Linked DNA regions of Solanum lycopersicum. The protein of the gene in region 1 interacts with the protein of each later gene in a pairwise test. Links are inferred from orthologs where the notes say so. Each region holds a gene or a part of one and is shown on either strand. Other genes may lie near its edges.

Region 1 (3,088 bases):
GGTGGTCCTGAAGGCAACAACATTTGTAGGTTGACCATTCCAAGAAGTAAGAAATGTAGTGTCACAATGCTGATTGGGCACTAATGTTATGTGCAAAATCAGGTGCCTTTTACTAGAGCTAAGCGGTAAAGACAGATGTTTAAGATGAGATAGTAACTCATTGAATTTTAAGGGGACTATACCTGAATCATTTGCATGTTCTATCTTTCACTAGAATTTAATAGGGTAAAGAGCTACATGAATTGTTTGTGTTTGAGGATTTGTACATTCGATAGAGCTTAGGTTTCTTGTTACCTGGATGACATATAATTGTGCTGTCGATCTTCAGGTCCAAACCAGTTTGCTCATGTCTACTGCGGGAACTGCCGTATGATGCTGATGTATCCATGTGGAGCTCCATCGGTTAAATGTGCAGTATGCCATTATATTACCAATGTTAATGTGAGTATGATGATTCATTTTTCTTTTTGATCTTTGGTAAAAATTTTAGCTGATGCTTGGTCCATATAGTTAAAGAAGTAAAATAACAAAGAGGAATGAATTTTAAGATTGTGCTTTTGGTAATGAGAATTCTATTTTGTGCGTAATATAATATTTACTTACTTTGTTAGGATCAGAGAATAGCCAACTACCATATTGTCTTAGTTTAATTACAATTTAAAGTGAGAATATATATCAACTTGACTGTAAATAAGTGATAAAATGAGTGTATGAAAGACTTGTCTTGCATGCATTGGTTGGTGTAAACACCAGTGCGGGTAAGTTTTTTTATTTTGTTGCTCAAGGGTGATGCAAATCAATCAAAATGACAATGTTGAGCCTTTTATGTAAATAGTAAGATTTATGATATTAGAATGATCGGAATTGAAGAAGATAAGAAGGGAATAATTAGCACAGTGAACATGTTGTTGTTGATGCTTCAAAATAGCCAATTCCCGAGTCATTGTTACTCATGGAGAATTGTTGGGTTTGTCTCTGTTTAAGCTGCTCTTCTCTGGTTCTTCCTTCTCCACTTAATAGTCTGAACCTATAGGAATCAGTAGATTATAGCGATTAGCCTTGCTTCATATCATGGATTGTAAAGCAAGTAAATTAAATTGAAAATCGTCAGCACATTTCGAGGACTTTCACATAAAGCAAAGTGTTAAGAGTGGTTTAATCCTTATGAAAGTTTAACGGAGAAGGCTTATGTTGGAAGGTAAGTTTATCTTGAGCTTTTGATATCAGCATCATCAGCCCACTTAAATACAAACTTATTTTGAACTTTTAGTTGCAAATTTTAGAAGTTATTGATATCACAGATTGTGGAAAAAGAAGGGGTAAGTGGGTGAGTGAGGAAGCAAAATAAGGTCTTTTGGTTACTAGTCCATTGCTTATGTTATTTGCGTATGTATCGGAATACAACAAGAATATGCTCAGTGTAATCCCATAAGTGGAATCTGGTTAGTGTATACACAGCCTTACCCTTACATTCCGAAGGTAGAGAAGTTGTTTTTGATAGACCTTGACTCAAGTAAAGCATATCGAAATCAGTAAGAAAAGGAAATGCAGTAGTGAAGAAGCCATGTAGAAAATAATGGAGAAAAGAAACAAATAATATGATAACTAAAAGAAGGAAACAACAGGTACTAGTAGAATTGAAGAATAAGATAGTAGGAGAGTAATAATAATAATATTGATAAGAGAGACTAGACAACATGCGTACATGAATATGATAAGGAATTTCAGTTTTCATGTGTTTATATGTATTTTTTTGCAGGCAGGAGATGGAAGAGCCCATGCACCTTTGAACCCTCCTAACGGCACTGCTACTACTGCTTCAGGATCCTCTTCAACTGTGAGTTCATAAGTCTGCCGCATGTTCTTTTCTTACTTACTAGGTTCTAAATTGACTAAATTGATTTCTGAAATATGTTCATATCTGCTTTAGGCCAAGGCTCGTTCACAAAATCAAACTGTTGTCGTCCAAAACCCAATGTCTGTCGATGAGAGTGGCAAGTTGGTAAGTTTGTTTCCAACATGATTAACCTCCTTTCATTTATATCTTTTGGCTTCTTCACTCTCAAGTTATCCACCTTATCATTAACGATACCATTTTACATTTCTAGGTGAGTAATGTAGTTGTTGGTGTAACAACAACATCATAGCTCGTCTGCTAAACTTGCTGTTCGTGGACAACAATTGAGAGTTTTGCTCGCAACAATTGGAAAGAGGAGAATAAAGACAGCCGCTGCATATAAATATGGTAGTGTTTAGTGTTAATACTACAACCATACCCCTGTTTTTCTTTTGTTAACATTTTGATATTATGATTGTGGGGTGATTGAAGCTACTACTACTAGTGTTGTGACTATTTGGAGTCTGTAATTGATAACTACGCGTTAGATTTGTGGCGTGCTATGCCCAAAGTCATAAGTGAAGAATGTTATTATGTACCTTATATGCCATATTATTGTATATGACTGTATACCGTGAACCTTACTGCCTAAACACCTTGCTTTTGAGAGGCGAATTCAGGATCTAGAGACTAGAGTTAGTGAGCTTTGAATGAGTGCGGTTTTTATTAGATGTATGCATCTTTTCCCTTGTGCATGTGTGTAATGGCACCTGCAGACTTGTCTGGAATTTGTCTCCAATTGTTATGAATATGATATGGTTTTCTTCAAGAGAAATCTCACTTCGTATAAAATCATAATTGTAAGAGGGCAAGAAATCTCATTTCCTTATTTGCCTCTGCCCCTCGAAAGTAGTCTCTGGTTAAAATACGAGAACGAAAAGGAGGGGGCGGGGGTAGTAGTAATTTTTCTTTTTTTAAATTCCTTCTTCCTCCTCCCTATATGTCTTCCTTTTATTCCCAACTACTTTGCCCTTTGGTATCTTCTTTAAGTTGAAAACTTGTTTATACAACTCAATATATATATATATAATAGCATGATTTTGTTCAACAACAAAAGTAATATGGTACAACACTTCTCACAAGGTCCAAGAGTAACTTTATTTTGAAAAAAAATTTACTTTCATAATCACCTTACAAGTATATTCGGTGGGTGAGTCAGAATTTTTATCAAGCAGATTCAATATGAAAAAG
Region 2 (4,502 bases), on another chromosome or scaffold:
TAGACCTCTACAGGAGAAGTCGGAAGCAAAGTTGTTTGTTGCAACAAAACATCGCTTATGCCACGAAGACAATTTTTTTATTAGTTACTGCAAAGAGAAGTTAAGAACATAAATATGGATCTAGAAGGCACATATTGCTAATGCTGAATTACAGGTTGCTTCAACATTCACAAAATAGAGAAGTTGGGAATTGCATATACAAGTTCAATTGCTGCTAGAGTGCCATAAAGTTTTTGCTGCCAGTGGTATGCAAGCCAACTCAGCTGAATCAACCATGAGCTGCAACATGATATTCAAACATATGCGCAGCACAGCATACACATTTTATATATAGATGTATGAATGTATGTATGTGGATCTCTAATCTATCTCTGCTCCTTGCACATTAAACTTGGTCAGTTACAAAGTCAACGAAAAAATTCATGCTAAGCATGTGTTACACTGTCATATGGATAGTCTACCTTTTGTAATTTGTAAGTTTGGTCTTCTACCTATTGGATGTGATGGACTTCAGCCATGAAATTTTCCTACATGGGCCTGTCACTATAATGTGAAACCACTGGGATTGGAAAATGGAAATCAGATTTCTTTTTACCCTAACAGGCACTTATGTACTCTTAGAATTGCTATTATGGTAGAGAAACTTTTTGAGAAAGGTAAGTCAACTCTAGTAGGCCATTAACAGAGGAGAACAGCAATGTCTCTGTCTAAGGCGTAATTTGTAAACGCAGTGAAAATCACACGTCTCGGTAAGTATTGCTATTGCGGCAGTCTGTTTCTTAAACATCCTTTTTTTTTCCTTTTCCTTTTCCTTTCAATAATGTGGTGTTCTGTTACCGCACCTGGACTATTTCACTGTGTACTTGCTACCTCCACCAACAAAGATACACGAGTTACTCTGCCCACCAAGGTCTTTAGCATCTTTAGGACCACAAGAAACCCTTTTTGGATATCCCCATTAGCCAATGAAAGAATCTAGAGAAGAATGTTCACGTTTTTCTTCGGAAGCTAAGAAGAAGGGGGTTGACTGCTTACTATTTGTTCTCGACTATGGAAGAATTTCAAAATCTCTTAATTATGTTTAACATCGAAGTTCTTGTTTAAGTAGCTGTCAAAAGAATCAGTGGTACAATTAACTCAGGAATAAACTAGACCATTAACAAAGTTCAGGAATGAATTCTCATGCTCATACTTCAGTATACTATTTACTTAGATATACACATCTCATATGAAAGGACATAATAAAGCCTTGTCACCAACAATATCTGCATAAACATGGTCTAACAGTAGTCACATGAAGTGCAAAAGTAATACTAATAAATATAAGTTACAAGAGATGAAGATAGACCCCTGACGTAATACTGAAGTCTCACACTTGTTACCTCTTATCAACGAAGGTGGGATAGGGACTGCGTTTGCTTAAGGATCCAGAAGGAAAGGAGAAAAAGCTGCACTGTTTAGTTACAAACTATAATCCAGATATCAGTTATAGAATGAAACGTGATTGTAAGTTTTCCATGGTTCCACCAAGATTTATCTACACAGAATGTTTTTGCATGCCCCATTAACCCAATATGTATAAAACTATTCCACCCTGCATTAGTTAAAGGTAGCAGGTGTGCAAAAGGGGTATTCTCCTCCAAACTTCTTCCATATCTTTCTTATCCAACTAAACTGCGATGCAGTTAGAGGACCAGAGAAACAGATACCTGTTTATCTATTTAACTTTTCCTTCTTTTTTTCTAGGTTTGGGAGATTTAACTTTTTGCTGACCCAAGTATACTAACTACTGATACAATACCTTAAAATACTAAAATACACATAAAGTAACAATGAAACCCTACAATCATCATCTATACCTAGCAATACTTTGATTTTGCTTCAATAACATGCCGAGCCAGTTCTATACTACCAATGGCAGAACAACAATATAGAGTAACAAAGAACCAAAGCTGCAAATTGCAATTATCCCAAAAAAAAAAAAAGGTTTAACCATTCGACTTTCATTTAGAATACTGATAAATTCGCTGATAAAGGTAAGGTGAATTAGCTTTCAGTGAGAATTCATCACCAAAAAATCATATCATGAATAGAACAACAAAGTTGCACACACATTGCAGACAAACAAAAGAAAACTTCCACTTTGTAATATAGATCAATCAAGGCAAAATTAATACATCAAACGAAACGTTACAAACACAAGTATACTAACTACTGATACAATATCTTAAAATACTAAAATACGCATAACGTAACAACGAAACCCTACAATCATCATCTAAAACTAGCAATACTTTGATTTCGCTTCAATAACATGCCGAATAAGTTCTAGACTACAGAACAACAACAACAATAAAGAGTAACAGGGAACCAAAGCTGCAAATTACAATTATCCTCCCAAAAAAGGGTTTAAAGAGGTTAAAAAGGGAGAAGAATTACTTGACTTGGGTGAGACCGGTGTTGCCACAGTGAAGGCAATTGAAAGGAGCAGGTGTATCTCTGTAAATAGTTTGTTGAATCGGAATTCCTTTAGGATCTCCATAAATGGCGTTTGGTGGAACCATACCTGCTTGATAAGGATTTTGACCTACATAGTATTGCTGCTGAAATTGCTGCGGCATCGGAGCCTGGTACGGCGCCGACGGGTTGTAAGGAATTCCGATCGCCGGCTCTTCGAACTTCGCCATCTCCGGTGATCAAATTGATGTTGATTATTACTATGTGATAAAAATAAATAAAATTCAGAATTATTTATTTTGCACACTACGCGTTTGTAGAATTGTTGTAGCGTTTATAGGGGGGCAAATTAATTAATTTGGTTTCTTAAAAAAAAAAATTGACTAATAAATCGCCGTGTATTTATCGTTTAACTTTGACGTTATCTATAACGAAGGAAACTAGGAATGGATCATTATTCGTTTATTATATTAAAAATAATTATTTAATATTATTTGTTTTATTTAATAAATTGAAGAGATAATTTTTTTTGTATTGGTAAAACCTTGCTATTAAATATCACGCTTTTTATTTATTTTTATTTGTCATATTATATTTTTCGAAAATTAATTTAATTAATTTTTAAAATTAAATTATATTAAATTAATTCGATACGTTAAATATTCAAAAAGTACTATAACTAGCAATTTTTGCAATATGATAAAAACACATCATAAAATGTTAATCAAAAAAACATTTTAGTTTGACTCTCGAAAAAAAATCAAGACAAATAAAATGGACGGAAATAATATTCAACATCTACTACAGTTTCCAAATTGTTAAATTCAATACATTCAAAGGGTGATTTGGTAATATTACTTTTATTATTTATTATTTTTTAAAAATTATGGAAAGTCAATACTGAAATGTTCCATTCTATTTTGATCGCTCCATTTAAATGGTCTCCTTGTGCATTTTGTAATTGCATGAATAATTAATTAATTAATTTGGTTTCTAGAAAAAAATTGATTTTGGAATTGATGTGTAATCAATGAATTAATTATTATTGAAAAGAAAAAAATAACAAAGGACTTTTCGTAACGAAATGAGCATTTAGAACAAATTAATCATTTTTATTGTACAGTAAAAACAATTTTTGAATAATAAAATTCTCTACTTGTATTCAAGCTAAAATACAGAAAAATCACAACACAGTGACTTTTATTTGAAAATTCCTATAGTTTGAACATATAGTTAAAAAAAAAAAACTAAAAAAATAATATGACTTTGACTCGTTTATAATTCAAATTCTAAAAAAATAATTCATGGTGTTTGAATTTTTATCAACTTATTTTTAGGTAAAAATATCAATCAAGAAATTACGTCCACAATTTCTTTTAGCAGGTAGCCAGCTACTATACATGAAATTACTCATTATTTTCAAAGGTGTCAACAATAAAGGCATAACACATAAAAATGATTTTTGATTTGATTTTAATGGATAATTATATCCTTCAATTCTGAGTGTGCATAAGTAGACACTTAAATTTATATAAAATTGAACAAGTAGATACATGTGTTCTACATGAAATAATGCATGTAGGACGCCACGTATGGCACAAAATTGTCATGTACAGTGCCATGTAGGACGAATCTGTCTATTTATTTAATTTTATACAAATTTAAATATCTACTTGTTCACATCAAAAGTTAATAAATCATAATTGTTATCTGACGCCAAATTGAGGATCATTTTTATGCATTGTGTTACCAATAAAATTGCACCTACAATATAAACTTAGTTTGCTTACTAGAACCTTTTTTCGTATTTTAACTAGAATTTCTTAAAATAGAAGAAAATATATGTTTTGACTTTCACCTACAATACCTAGTTTAAAATAAAAGAAAAAATATTTGAATTTCACCTACAACTAATAAAAAAATAAATTTAAAAATATATGATTTTGGTCGGTGAAAATAAGGATAATTTCTAGAAATTTCGCTAGTTCGGAAGCTAATTGGTTAGATACACGTTAGTTTGCAACATTACGAATTTTAACGGATTT

Evidence for each region.
Region 2: the proteins of protein LSD1 (region 1) and GSH-induced LITAF domain protein interact in binary tests that used the Arabidopsis thaliana proteins (3 or more experiments, as listed by UniProt). The link is inferred for Solanum lycopersicum from reciprocal best matches to the Arabidopsis thaliana genes LSD1 and GILP.

The regions. Positions count from the first base shown.
Region 1 is NC_090801.1:55,751,880-55,754,967, forward strand, and holds the end of protein LSD1, read left to right. Parts: intron 1-328; coding exon 329-441; intron 442-1,759; coding exon 1,760-1,837; intron 1,838-1,930; coding exon 1,931-2,002; intron 2,003-2,108; coding exon 2,109-2,147; 3' UTR 2,148-2,490; downstream 2,491-3,088.
Region 2 is NC_090800.1:4,585,222-4,589,723, reverse strand, and holds the start of GSH-induced LITAF domain protein, read right to left. Parts: upstream 2,900-4,502; 5' UTR 2,688-2,899; coding exon 2,440-2,687; intron 1-2,439. UniProt on the Arabidopsis thaliana protein: Acts as a membrane anchor, bringing other regulators of programmed cell death (PCD) to the plasma membrane. Negatively regulates hypersensitive cell death.